Oryctolagus cuniculus: one gene and its partners. The protein of the gene in region 4 purifies or fractionates together with the protein of the main gene of each other region. This does not show direct contact. Links are inferred from orthologs where the notes say so. Each region holds a gene or a part of one and is shown on either strand. Other genes may lie near its edges.

Region 1 (3,500 bases), on a different chromosome or scaffold from region 4:
GTGTATTTGACCAATTCGGAATCAAGGATGTGTTTGACAATGCAATACGAGCCGCGCTGATTTCTCGCCGCCACCTGCAGTTCTGGAAATCTCACTTAAAGAAAGTCCAGAAACCTTTGCTTCAGGCCCCTTTCCTACCTCCAAAAGCCCCTCCACCGGTCATCAAGATTCCAGAGTGTCCTTCCACGGGGATGAATGAAGCTGCCTGTTTACTGGACAGTCCCCTGTGTGCGGATGTCCTGTTCATCCTGCAGGACCAGGAGCACATCTTTGCACATCGGATTTACCTCGCTACCTCTTCTTCCAAATTCTACGATCTTTTTTTAATGGAATGTGAAGAATTCCCCAATTGGGGTGAAGGAGTGTGTGAGAAAGAGAAGCAGAGCACGGATTTCCAGGGGCGGACTTTGAGTCCTGACCTAGATGGGGAGAGGGAGGAAGGCCTGCCTCGGACACCGCAGGCTGATCAAGGGAAGTCGTCAAGGAAGTTCCTGCTGGAGGCCACGGGGCCGGAAGCTGAGGGCTCAACTCCCGAGACACAGACTTTGGCCGGCTGGAGTAAGGGGTTCATTGACATGCACAAGGAGATGCAAGTCAATCCCATTTCAAAGCGAGTGGGCCCCGTGACGGTGGTCAGAATGGACTCCTCCGTCCAGCCAGGCCCTTTCCGCACCCTGCTCCAGTTTCTTTATACAGGGCAACTGGATGAAAAGGAAAAGGATTTGGTCGGCCTGGCTCAGATCGCAGAGGTCCTAGAGATGTTTGATTTGAGGATGATGGTGGAAAACATCATGAACAAGGAAGCTTTCATGAACCAAGAGATTACAAAAGCTTTCCACGTCAGGAAAGCCAATCGGATAAAAGAGTGTCTCAGCAAGGGGACCTTCTCAGGTGAGCCGGTCACCATCTGTTTCCATCCCCTGCTCGGTTGCACATCACACCCCCTGGCCCTGCTCTGCTGCAGTTTCCTGATATTTGCACTCTCGTGCTGCCTGCAGCACCCTCACACAGTTGCTTAAGCACTCTGGTGGCCTGCATCCAATCTGGGTTATGATCCATTCTTACACAACTCCTGCTGTCTGACACAGTACTTTTGTTGTGAAATTATCCTGTGTATGTGAACAAGGGTGTATTTCATTGTAAAAAGTTGACTCCCTGGCTTCTATACCAATGGATACTTACATTTTTATCTTTATCTTTAATAATCACTGCTCTGTATGGTGCTACGCATTTAGAAGTGGTTACTGAATCTGTTGACTAATTTTAAAACTTATGAGCAACATTTGCTCCAAACATTGGCCATTGTGGTATAGAAGCAGTATTGGAAGTTAATGAAAAGAATGTCACAAGTGCAGGCAGCTGGCACAGAGGTGACTAGCACTGCTTGGGATGCCCTCGTCCCATATCGAAGAGCGTGGGTTAGAGTCCGAGCTCCACTTTCATTCCCAGCTACCTGCTAATGTGCACCCTGGGAGGCAGTAGTGATGACTCAAGTAGTTAAGTTCCTGCCACCCATGTGGGAGACCTGGATTGAGTTCTGGGCTCCTTGCTTCAGAACTCTTGTAGTCATTTGGGGAGTGAACCACCCAATGGAAGATCTCTCTCTCCCTCTCTCCCACCCCATGTATATGTGTGTGTTTCTTTCTCTCTCTGCTTTTCAAATAAAATGAAAATAAAAATATTTAAACAGAAGTTGCTACAGATTGTTAGAAAATTAAGTTATGGATCATTAGACAAATTTGTCATGAACTGAATGGTGATATTAGAAAATTATTTCTAATTTTTTTGGTCGCAATATTGGCATGGTTATTTAGGAGAATGTTCTTTTTTGAAAATTCCTGATAAAGTAGTTAGGAGTGACATGTCATATTACCTATTAGAAAAAGTCTACCCACATATATGAAGTTATATATAAATACACATACAGCTGTAGCACATGTGGCAAAATGTTAACAGTGGATAAATGAGTGATTACTATTCTTTCCACTGTTCTGTGTTTGGAATTTTTCATAATAAGAAGTGGACAAAAATATTCCTCTCCTTTTTGTTACTTCCTGGTTCAGGGAATTTGTGTTGTCACTTCTCCTTTTTGTTATTTCCTGGTTCAGAGACTTTGTGTACGTTTAAACACTTGCTCTTCAGTGTGGGAATCAGGTGTGGGAGAGATAGGGGTTGACATAAAACCAGTAAATAAAGACAGAAGAGAGAGTAAGGGACCTGCAGGGTAAAAGGCGGAGCAGAAGCCTTGAGTAAACTCTCTGTGAAGCTGGCTCACTGTTGCGTTCCCTCAATCCTTTGGCAGATGTGACCTTTAAGTTGGATGATGGTGCCATCAGTGCCCACAAGCCACTGCTGATCTGTAGCTGCGAGTGGATGGCAGCCATGTTTGGGGGGTCATTTGTGGAAAGTGCCAACAGTGAGGTAAGGTGCCTTCTACACAGCCTTGTGGTAGCTCCATCAGCGTGTGAGGGTGCATGTTTAATTAGCAAGATGATTTAAGTTCTTCAACTTCCCATGAAATATGCCCTGGACAGTGCTCGAATGTGTGGCTGCCCTTTTTTCATTCTGCAACAATGAGGAGCTGTTGATTGTTGGTCATTTGTTGTGTGTGATGAACACCTGGGTGCTTTACATGCTCTACATACTTTCATCCTCACAGCTTTCCTCACCCATAGAGACATGAACAGCTAGCTATCCTTTTTTTTTTAAATCACCAAGCAAGGTACTATCAAAATCCAGTACGAGAGGGACAGAGCCTATCTTCCAAGGACTCAGAAAAGTCAGAGTTCTTCATTCACTGAAGTCACTCTTACCCAGACAGGACCTTAAGAAGCCACACTGTTGTGCCTTGTTCTGCCCTGCAAGATGAGGCATGCACCAAATCACCCTAGAGGTCCCCAACAGCACAGCACTCCCTAAGCCTCGGCCCTGACTTCACCAATGGTGAGCAGAGAGGAGGGTTTGTTACTTGTAGGGAAACAGTAATGGAACAAACATCCCTCTCTAAGTACATAGGTCTAGTAGAAACTCCTTGGTTGGGTCTGGCACTTCGGTGTAGAAGATTAACCTCTGCCTGCAGTGCCGACATTCCATACAAGTGCCAGTTCGAGTCCTGGCTGCTCCATTTCTGATCTAGCTCTCTGGTAGTGCACATGGGAAAGCAGTAGAAGATGGCCCAAGTCTGTGGGGCCCCTGCACCCACATGGGAGACCCTGAAGAGGCTCCTGGCTCCTTGGCTTTGGTCTGGCCCAGCCCTAGCTGTTGTGGCCATCTGGGGAATGAACCAGTGGATTGAGGGTCTCTCCTCTCTGAAACTTTGACTTTCAAATAAATAAATAAATCTTAAAAAAAAAAAAAAAAAGGAAAAGAAACACCTAGGTCACTTGTTATCCAATGACCTTATCCTAAATAGGAGATATTCTTAGAACACAGCAAGCAGTGTCTTAGAGACAATATGTCTTTATCTTTTTTTACAGACTCTATTGGGAAAGGGGGAAAAG
Region 2 (2,592 bases), on a different chromosome or scaffold from region 4:
GATGGCCCAGGTGCTGGGGGCCCTGCACCCGCGTGGGGGACCCGGATGGAGCTCCTGGCTCCGGATCGGCACAGCCCCGGCCGACTGGGGAGTGACCCGGCAGGTGGAGGGCCTCCCCCCCCCCCCCGCCGCCCTTCAAACATCCTTGAGAACAACAGGGGGCGCGCTTCGGCGCAGCGGTGAGTGGCGTCAATGTCTGCCTGAAGACGGAGAAGGCAGAGGTGCCCAGGGCCCTCCCATCCGCGGCCGCCCGCGCCCGGGAGCCCGCCCGGCCGTCATCAGGGCGTCGCGTTGGCGGCAGAGGCGGGACCCCCAGTGTGCCCTCCCCGTGTGTGCCTGTGGGTGGGGGGTGTCGGCTTCCGGCCACCGCTCGTCTCCCGCGGACGGCGCGTGCCGCTCGGGCCCCCTCGTGGCTGCGTCCCCGGGGCCGCTCCTCCCGTGGGGCCGTGGGCAGCGCCCGCGGGCTGAGCGCGGACGGAAGGGGTGCGGCTCAGGGCACGTGCGTTTCTCCCTTTATTTAAAAAAATCATCCGGGGGCGCATGAGCGGCCTCCCGTGGCGGGGGTCGCGGGGCGGGGCGGGGGTCGGCTATGTACAGGTGGGCGCCGCCCTGGGTCTGGCCGCAGCCTCGGCCCCGCCCCCGGCCCCGGGTCGGAGGCGCCGCCTGGGCACGGGCTGGGCGGCGGCGGCCACGGAGGCCACGACCGGCCTCCGCCTCGGGGCTCGTGGGGCCGAGGTCGCGTTCCCCCCGCGGGGTCCCCGTGGCCGGCGCCGCTAGGTGTAGATGACCCCGGGGCTCTGGGGGCTGTGGGGGCTCGGGCCGCTAGCTGTAGAGGACGACCTCGGGGCCGGGGCCGGGCCCCCCAGGTGTAGACGGCGACCGCGGGCCCCAGGTGTAGACGGGCCTAGGTGTAGAAGATGACCTCGGGGATCTGGCCGTCCTCCACCGAGGTGCCGTTGTTGTTTCCCGCGGCGTAGCAGAAGGTGAAGCAGGTCTTGGCGCCGGTGCTGGGGGACTCGTGGGTCACCTTGCGCAGGCCCTTGGTGCCGTAGTGCGAGTCGGGGCCCTGAGGGGCGGGGGCGGTCAGCGGGGCGGCCGGGGCGCTGGGGGCGGGCGGCCGTGGGGCGGGTGCACCTTGAGCGTGGCTGGCGGGGGCGGGGCCGGGCGCTGGGGGCGGGGCGGGGCCGGGCGCTGGGGGCGGGGCCGGGCGCTAGGGGCGGGGCCGGGTGCTGGGGGCGGGGCGGGGCCGGGCGCTGGGGGCGGGGCGGGGGCGGGCGCACCTTGAGCGTGGCTGGCGGGGAGGGGCAGGGGCGGGGCCGGGCGCTGGGGGCGGGGCGGGGCGGGGGCGGGCGCACCTTGAGCGTGGCGCAGGCCGTGTAGTTGACGCTGGGCAGCACCTCCACCGGCTCCCGGAACATGACGCGGAAGGTGCCGGCCGAGCCGTCGCAGCTGAAGCCGGTGTCGTTCTGGCCCAGGACGGTGTTGCTGTCCGTGTGGATGATCTGGGGGAGGGGCGCGGTGAGGGGCGGCGCGCGCGGGGGCCCCCTCCCCCCGGGGGCGGGGCGGCCCGGGCGCACCTGGATGTTCACTTGGTAGTCGGTGGGGCCGTGGATGGAGCCGTACAGCCCGAAGCCCACCACGAAGATGCGCTTGTTGACGGAGAACCTGGGGGGGGGCGCGTGAGCGTGCGGGGGTGTCGGGGGGGGCTGCAGGAGCCCGCGGGAGGGGCCGCGTGAGCGTGCGGGGGGGGGGGGTCTGCAGGAACCCGCCGTGGGGGTCGCGTGAGCGTGCGGGGTGGTGGGCGGGGACTGCAGGAACCCGAGGGGGGGGCGGGGGCGCGTGAGCGTGCGGGGGGGGGGGCGCCGCACCTGATGCGGTCGCTGGTGCCGCTGTAGCCCCAGCGGCTCTCCACCTGCTGGAAGCGGCTCACGCTGCACTCCTTCCCGCGCAGGCAGCAGCGCGGCCGGTCGATGAAGTCCACGCGCGGCTTAGGGTTCACGGTGAAGTGCAGGAAGAGGCTGACCACCTCGCGGTCGCCCAGGATGCCCGACTGGGCGGGGCCTGCGCACGGGCGGACGCGCTCAGCGGGCAGCCGCCCCCACCCGACGCCGGGAGCGGCCCCAGGGCCCCTGGCACCCACGCGGCGCAGGACGCACGGGGCTCCCCACACCCGCCGCGCGCCGCGCACCTGCCGCGAACTCCTCGATGGTCATGAGCGGGAAGCGGATGAGGCCCAGGGCGGCGCCCAGCACCGCGCGCTTGTTCTCGGGCGTCACGGGCAGCTGCTGCCGCTGGCACTCGGCCTCGGACCAGCGCACCACGGCGCTGAACAGCCGCGCTTCCCGGATGCCCAGTGTGTCGCGCTCCAGCACCGCCACCAGCGTGTCTGCGGGCGCGGGCGCGGGCGCGGGGCTGTCACCGGGAGCGCGCCCCGGCCGCTCGGCCCCGCCCCGCCCCCGTCCCCGCCCCGCCCGCACACCCAGGTCGATGTCCCTCTACTCGGCCCCGCCCACTCCCACGCCCTGCCCCGCCCCCGGGCCCCGCCCCGCCCGCGCACCCAGGTCGATGTCCGTGAAGCCCTCGGCGGCGATG
Region 3 (3,500 bases), on a different chromosome or scaffold from region 4:
AGCGCGGGTGCGCTGACCGCGGTGCTGAAGTGGCCTCCGCTCAGTCCCCGCAGCCCCCGGACAGGCGCGGCCGAGCCTCGCAGTCTGTCTACTGAACAGGAATCAGTCCTAGCCCACACCGTTAGGCCCTTTGCTTATATCGCATTATTGCGAATTTATACAAACTCCATTAATAGTTTTACACTGTATTATGTAACACGTTTCTATACTATTACAAAATATCTGTTCCTTTAAATGCATTGACCATTTTCTTGGGCATTTATTAGGTCTATTTTTAGCATCTCTCCAAATGCTAGCCACCAGATATTTCAAACCCCGAATATAAAGTCAGTTTTATTAATTCTTTGAAATTAGTTATGAGAGCTCATTGGGACTGTAGGAATACTGACCCAACTCATCTAACCCTTCCAAACGGCTAAAACAAAAACAGAAAACAAAACCAGCTACATAAAACAAGATGATTCCAGAACTATTCCAAGACCGTGACCCAGCTGACCTAGGAAATTATACAAGGCGGAGCTGAAATAGCTTCGCTTTTGTTTCTATACAATTACACCCAGTTCTCTTCCTCTAAGATCGTAAGAAAATGGAAAACCTGCCTTTAAGTCAGTCATGCAGAGATTTCAATGAACATTTTCCTATCTCCTTTGAGAAACTAAAATGTTTTTTTATTTTACAATTATAAATACTCAAACACTCCAGCTATTTTTGGGGCCAGTTATTTGTGGTTTTGAGACTAGACGGTATGGTACTACTGAGCTAAGATGTACTGTGATGCTAAACTATGTATAAAATATGATTTCTGGGATTTGTCCATCTTCTATGGAAGTGCCATTGTTATTGCCAGGAGAACTGAAAAATAAGAAAACAGTCTTGCTCGCGGCCGGGGTCTCATGGACCACCTTCTTCAGTCCTTTTGTGCCGTAGTGGGAATCCGGACCCTGAGTGAGAACAAAAGGTTCATGAGCAATTTTCACTTAATAACCCTCAATCTAATGTGCTATTTTAATTAGATTAGTGGTTTACATTCCATTATAGCTCCTACAAAATTTTATGCTAAGTCATTTAATGAAAAACGAAGGTTTTGCCCAAAAGCTAATTAATGAGCACAGAGTGCAGACTGAGTGCAGAGCTCGGCTATTAGGGAGTAAGAGCTCTCAAGAAAGTAATTATTTTCCATTCATTCAGACATTCTAATTTCCTACTCAGACCAGCGGCTACTTCTTAGACCCATTTCCTCCTAAAGAGCTGTACCGAGGAGCACTTCTTTCCCCAGACCACGAGATAGGTCAGCTCCCAGCCTGCCTTCCACCCCGCTCTGCAGGTGCTTCCCAGCTCCTGAGGCATCCAGGACCGAGCTGGGGCCCCACCAGCGCCGGGGTGTGTGTGTGTGTGTGTGTGTGTGTGTATGCACGCGCGCGCACGCTCTAAGCCGCTCTTACCTTGAGGGTGGCGCACGCTGTGTAGCACACGTTGGGCAGGATTTCTATGGGCTCCTTGAACATGACCCTGAACGTGTTCGCGGTCCCATCACAACTAAAGCCGGTATCATTTTGTCCCAGGGTTTGTTTTTTTTCATATTCAATGATCTGTAAGTTTTGAAAGGTTAATTATATTTAAGTCAAAGCAGTCGAATGGACCACTGAGTCTGTGCTCTGACTCTCTCTCTCTCCTGCTGAGAGCCCCAGGAGCAGAGAGGCGCTACTTCCTGCTGGGCAGGAGCTCCAAGTTGGCCTTGGCTGGGGGACAGAGAAGCGTCCCCAAAAGGGCTTTAGAATGTGTGCACTTCACCTAAGGGACATGAGCCTTTAATGCTTGCCAGCTGACGTCTTGTTGCTAGAAAACCCCCTCACCATTGCCCATGTCTTAATGTAATTTACTGCAATTAAAATGACCTTCAGGGGCCAGCGCTGTGGCGTAGTGGGCTAAGCCTCCACCTGCAGCGTCGGCATCCCATGAACGCCTGCCTGTTTGTGTCCTGCTGCTCCTCATCCCATCCAGCTCTCTGCTGTGGCCTGGGAAAGCAATGGAAGATGGCCCAAGTCCTTGGGCCTCTGTACCTGCATGAGAGACCTGGAGCCATCTGGGGAGTGAACCAGCAGATGGAAGACCTCTCTCTCGGTCTCTCCCGGTGTGTAACTCTACCTCTCAAATAAAAAATTTTTAAGAAAATTAAAAAGGAGATGGAAACAGTAACAGTGAAACAAGCTGAAGCCATGTGTGCTGACTAGGTCAGGACAGGAGCCCCAGTGCGGGCAGGGACTGGGTACTGGGTTCCCAGCGGTGTGCAGTTTATGGAAACTGAGCCCTCAGTACCACTTATAGAATATGCACACTTTTCCTGTGTGTCTATCAAAGTTCAATTAAAAAAAAATACTGAAAGGACACACCATGATGGTGCCCTGGAGAACAGCAGTGGGCATGGGATTTGGCTGTGACTGTGCAATCCAGGAAAAAACCACGGGCTTCTCCTGAGTTTCACTCGGATCTTTTCATTTGGGAACGAATCTTGCTTTACCTTCTTCCCAAGATTATTGTGAGAATCAAAGTAACGACACACGACAGTGACTGGCCGAGTGCTAGCACGTTCCACGCAGCCTCGCCGTGGCGTGGGTTCCGCCTGACTGACGGCAGGGAGGAGAGGGAGGCTCACGCAGGTCGCTGATGCGCCCACCGCTATACCTCGCAGGGCTCCCTGGCTTCAGCAGGGCTCTCCATCGCCCTTCACCTGGCAAGACCCAGGGCAGGAACTCTGAAACGTGGGACCTATCAGCCTCGCCTGCCTTCTGCCATTGCCCATCACTCGCCTTTCTGACTCGCTGCTCTCAATACTGCTGTCCGTGGGGATGTTAGAGAAATGGAGATGCACTCAGCCCTCAGTCTACCGTCTTTCCTTAATGGGGTATGGAGCCAGTGACAGTGCACGGGGTTGACTACTGCTCTTCCAAGCGTGGACAGAAGGCAGCCCCTCTCTCTCTGCCTTTGAAACCCACGTGTCATTGCTACTATAATACAGGCCTTTGGCACTTTCCATCTGTCCAAAGTTGTTCTTGAAGAAGTGCATGTCTGTCCCTTGGGTGTAAGGTGAAGTGGTTCCCTACGAACAGGCGGATGAAGATGATGAATTTGTACAACAAAATGCTGCCTCTGTTGTGCCCAGCCCTGCTACTTCAACGGTACAGACTTCCCGTCCATCTCTGAGGTAGGGACCCTGGGCGGGTACTGTGAACAAGCCTTCCAGGTACTTCCAATAAACAGTCCTGTTTAAATATTTATTTATTTGAATATTATTTAAATATTTATTTATTTGAGTTATGGGGCCGGCGCTGTGGCCTAGCGGGTAAAGCCACTGCCTGCAGTGCCGGCATCCCATATGGGTGCTGGTTCGAGTCCTGGCTGTTCCACTTCTGATCCAGCTCTCTATGGCCTGGGAAAGCAGTGGAAGATGGCTCAAGTGCTGGGGCCACCACACCTGCGTGGGAGATCTGGGGGAAGCTCCT
Region 4 (4,154 bases):
TTATTTTCCATCCTTAGCAACTATGCCTCTGAGTTTAAGAGCAAGAAGCTGAGGTAAACTGGCTGGAGCTGTGCCGATCCAAAGCCAGGAGCCAGGAGCTTCTTCCAGGTCTCCACGCCGGTGCAGGGTCTCAAGGACTTGGGCCATCCTCCACTGCTTTCCCAGGCCATAGCAGAGAGCTGGATCAGAAGTGGAGCAGCCGGGACTTGAACCGGCACCTGTATGGGATGCCGGCCACTGAAGGCAGGTGGGGGCACCTCTAGGCCACAGCGCCGGCCCCCCACGTGCTCTTGAACCATCACCTGCTGCCTCCCAGGGAGTGTATTCCAGGAAGCTGGATCAGAGGCAGAGCTGGGACTGCACACGCATTTTCTGATGATGCAAGTGACACAAACAGCAACTTAACTGTTGAGCCAAACACTCGCCCCGAGGAATGAGGTAAACGGTTAATTCCCGTAGGCCAGAAGTCCCCTCACCCCGCAGCGTGTCTCAAGTCCATTCCTCTGAGAACTGTGGAACTCTGTTCAGGCTCCTAAGTGGGGTGACTGCTGGATTTCCCACCACTCTCCCCGGAACACCTCCTGGGACCAGCTCACACTTGGGGGCGGCGATGCAGACACCGAAACGGCCAGCCGGACCCAAACTGTAGCGGCAGCAGGAGGGGCGGTCGGTGACCGCAACCGGCTCGGGCTTGGGGGAGCAGGGAGAGCTGGGGTGGGCTGGAGCCGGCAAGGTTGGGAGGTTGGGATGGGTGGGGGCTGTTCCCAGTGCTGCACCTAATACCAGTATTTGGAAGGAGGAAAGATAGGATATGCAGACGGAGCCGCCCAAATCCCGGCTCCACCCCAAAGTTCTGCATCCATTCACTCAAAAAAAAAAAAAAAAAAAAAAAAAAAAGGCCCCCATGTGTGTTGGTCACAGGGGTACCGGGATGAGAGACAGGACTCCCAGCCCTGTGGCTGGCAGTCAGTGAGTATGTACGGAAAACAGATACGAGGTCCTGGCCGAACCCCAGGGACCCAAGGCTGGAAAGGTGGAAGCCAGGGCCAGGCCGCCCGGCAGGCAGGGGTCAGAGCACACGGCCTCTCGGCTTGCGGTCAGCAGTCTGGATTTCATTGTGAAAGTTGCCATTGCATTCATTCTGCAACCCCCTTAAGCGCTAGCCATTCTTGTCCCAGCTTTACTGCCGGGAACGATTCAGGCGGGGCGCGCGGAGTGGACTGATCCGGCCCAGGTCGCCCGCAGGCGAGACGCGGGGGTCACGCTCCACCGAGACCGCGCCACACTCAGGGAACTGACCGCTCGCTCCCGGGCGGCCCGACGCGCGCCGCGGGGACACCGCGCATGCGCCGCTCGCCGTACGGAAGCCGGGAGGGCAGGGGGCGGGGCCGAGGCTGGCGGGCGCGGGGAAAATGGCGGCGGCGGCGGCTGCGGCGAACGGGACCGGAGGGAGCAGCGGGATGGAGGTGGATGGAGCAGGTAACGGGCTGCGCGGGGGCGACTTCTGGAGACAGCACTCAGGGGTGCGTGCAGGCCGTCTTGGACTCCCGGGGGACGTGAGGAGGGCGGTGGGATAACTTGTGGGAGCGATGTATGGCCCCGGCTCTGCCGTCCCCCGACTCCCATCTCCAGGGAAGAGCGTGGGGGTCCGGAGACTCTCACCCTCTCTCCGTCCCCTGCACCGTCAGTAGTCCCCAGCGTGATGGCCTCCGGAGTGACCGGCAGTGTTTCCGTCGCCCTCCATCCTCTCGTCATCCTGAACATCTCCGACCACTGGATCCGCATGCGCTCCCAGGAGGGGCGGCCTATGCAGGGTGAGTGTTGGGCGTGCTTCTCCGACCCCGTCCCCTCGGTAGCTCCCCGGGCCTCGTCAGCCGAAGCCAGTCCCCCTCCCCCATCACTGTTTCTGCAGCAGTCGGCCCACACGTGCCCTCAGACCCCCAGCGGGAGATCAAGTTTTGGGATTCCCTACCGTCCCCTCTCACGTCCGTTCTCTTCCCCCCAGTGGTCGGGGCTCTGATCGGGAAGCAGGAAGGCCGGAATATTGAGGTGATGAACTCCTTTGAGCTGCTGTCCCACACCGTGGAAGAGAAGATTATCATCGACAAGGAGTATTATTACACCAAGGAGGAGCAGTGTGAGAGGGGAAGCCAGTGGGGGAGAGGTGTGGGGGGTCAAAGAAAGAAAAACAAAACAAAACACAGGACCGGGGAGAAATAACCAGGAGAGGAAGCCGAGAATGGAAGAGTTAATTCACCTGAAGAGATCTCAAGACGGTATTCCCTAAAACGGTGTACAGGATGAGCGGTCAGAATAGCAGGGGTGAGGAGGGAGGGGGAGCTCGGAGGCAGGGAGGGTGGTTTAAAGAAGTACGATTGCTCTCCAGTTAAACAGGTATTCAAGGAGCTGGAGTTTCTGGGCTGGTACACCACAGGGGGGCCGCCTGACCCCTCCGACATCCACGTCCACAAGCAGGTACAGATACAGACGCTCACACCTGCGACTGGCGGGTGGGGGGCGGGGGGCGGGGAGAAGAGGGTGGGACGTCCACCTGCACGCCGGCCCTCTCCTCCAGGTGTGTGAGATCATCGAGAGCCCCCTCTTTCTGAAGTTGAACCCTATGACCAAGCACACAGACGTGAGTAGTCCTGACCTCGTGCCGTGCTTGTTTGTCGGTCCGCTGTTGCCGGTAGCACAGCTTCTTAGCAACTGGGCAGTGCTGGGGTTGAACCTCCGTTCTGCCCTTAGCAGCTGCGTGGCTTTGAGTGGCGTTTAACCTCCACATTGCTGTTTCACATGTGAAACGGGGATACTCCCTACCTCCCTGGGTTCTTGTGAAGATCGGATGGGAGGCGGTGCCCACGTGTAGCACCTAGTGGAGATTCAAGTCATTTGCTGTTCCTAAGAGCTGTTCTCTGTTCTTTACAGCTTCCTGTCAGCGTTTTTGAGTCTGTCATTGATATAATCAACGGAGAGGTAACGCCTGACCCCTCACCCCTCAGGGCCTGCTCGACGCATTTCCGATTTTGACTCTCACTGTCTGGGACACTCTGCTCCACAGGCCACGATGCTGTTTGCTGAGCTGACATACACTCTGGCCACAGAGGAAGCTGAACGCATTGGTGTTGACCATGTGGCCCGAATGACAGCCACAGGCAGTGGAGAGAACTCCACCGGTAATGGAGGGGATTCCTTGGAAGCGAGGGTGGGAGGTATGGCCAAGTGCCTTCTCACTCTCTGCCCGTGCCTGTCCCTTGCAGTGGCTGAACACCTGATAGCACAGCACAGCGCCATCAAGATGCTGCACAGCCGGGTCAAGCTCATCCTGGAGTACGTCAAGGCCTCTGAAGCAGGTAGGGCAGGCCTGTGGCGTCCACCTCCCCCCCGGCCAAGTGACAGCATCCATGTGAATGCGGTCTCTTCTTGTCTGTAGGTGAGGTCCCCTTTAACCATGAGATCCTGCGGGAGGCCTATGCTCTGTGTCACTGCCTCCCAGTGCTCAGCACAGACAAGTTCAAGACAGACTTTTACGATGTGAGTATGAAACCCGGCTGGGGAGGTTTTGCTCACAGGATGGGACTGCAAAGAGGGATGCCTGGAGAACTGGTTCTTTCTGTTCCCCTGCAGCAATGCAATGATGTGGGGCTCATGGCCTACCTCGGCACCATCACCAAAACCTGCAACACCATGAACCAGTTTGTGAACAAGTTCAACGTCCTCTATGACCGACAAGGCATTGGCAGACGGATGCGGGGCCTCTTCTTCTGAGGCCACTTGAAAGGATGCACTGGGCTCAGCGGCCTGTCCCAAGGGGAGGGGCGCGCCACTCCCTTAGAGAACCGCTGTGGTCAATAAAAGGGGATCAGCCCCTCAGCACCCCTCCCAGTGGCTCTGTCCTCTCTGTCGGGCACCAGATTTCCCAGTGGGGACCTTAGGTGAGGCCCCTTGTGCCAGCTTTGTGAGGCAGAATCTGTGTCAGCACTTGGCAGTGCACTGCCTCCTGAAGTGACCCCACAGCCAGTTGGGTGGAGGACTCAGGAGCACCCGCGATCTTTGCTCTGCGCTTTCACGTCACCCTGTGGGGTCCACCTGAGCTCAGTGCAACTGCTTTCCCCATTTAAATTAACTTCATTAAAGTTTTTCTCATACATAAA

The links. The genes of interacting proteins can lie anywhere in the genome.
Region 1: the proteins of COPS6 (region 4) and RHOBTB1 purify together in Homo sapiens (affinity purification with mass spectrometry; 4 studies listed by BioGRID and IntAct, counting the BioPlex papers as one, with this or other methods). This does not show direct contact. The link is inferred for Oryctolagus cuniculus from reciprocal best matches to the Homo sapiens genes COPS6 and RHOBTB1.
Region 2: the proteins of COPS6 (region 4) and BTBD2 purify together in Homo sapiens (affinity purification with mass spectrometry; 4 studies listed by BioGRID and IntAct, counting the BioPlex papers as one, with this or other methods). This does not show direct contact. The link is inferred for Oryctolagus cuniculus from reciprocal best matches to the Homo sapiens genes COPS6 and BTBD2.
Region 3: the proteins of COPS6 (region 4) and BTBD1 purify together in Homo sapiens (affinity purification with mass spectrometry; 3 studies listed by BioGRID and IntAct, counting the BioPlex papers as one, with this or other methods). This does not show direct contact. The link is inferred for Oryctolagus cuniculus from reciprocal best matches to the Homo sapiens genes COPS6 and BTBD1.

What each region holds. Positions count from the first base shown.
Region 1 is NC_091446.1:53,268,701-53,272,200, reverse strand, and holds part of RHOBTB1 (rho-related BTB domain-containing protein 1), read left to right. Parts: coding exon 1-891; intron 892-2,302; coding exon 2,303-2,421; intron 2,422-3,500.
Region 2 is NC_091447.1:58,981,611-58,984,202, forward strand, and holds the end of BTBD2 (BTB/POZ domain-containing protein 2), read right to left. Parts: coding exon 2,558-2,592; intron 2,387-2,557; coding exon 2,189-2,386; intron 2,062-2,188; coding exon 1,869-2,061; intron 1,666-1,868; coding exon 1,578-1,665; intron 1,503-1,577; coding exon 1,356-1,502; intron 1,067-1,355; coding exon 905-1,066; 3' UTR 501-904; downstream 1-500.
Region 3 is NC_091443.1:101,886,706-101,890,205, forward strand, and holds part of BTBD1 (BTB/POZ domain-containing protein 1), read right to left. Parts: intron 1,590-3,500; coding exon 1,443-1,589; intron 942-1,442; coding exon 783-941; 3' UTR 1-782.
Region 4 is NC_091450.1:42,358,272-42,362,425, forward strand, and holds the start of COPS6 (COP9 signalosome complex subunit 6), read left to right. Parts: upstream 1-1,354; 5' UTR 1,355-1,412; coding exon 1,413-1,479; intron 1,480-1,688; coding exon 1,689-1,814; intron 1,815-2,005; coding exon 2,006-2,137; intron 2,138-2,386; coding exon 2,387-2,475; intron 2,476-2,575; coding exon 2,576-2,638; intron 2,639-2,928; coding exon 2,929-2,976; intron 2,977-3,061; coding exon 3,062-3,176; intron 3,177-3,260; coding exon 3,261-3,353; intron 3,354-3,433; coding exon 3,434-3,534; intron 3,535-3,627; coding exon 3,628-3,768; 3' UTR 3,769-4,154. UniProt on the Homo sapiens protein: Component of the COP9 signalosome complex (CSN), a complex involved in various cellular and developmental processes.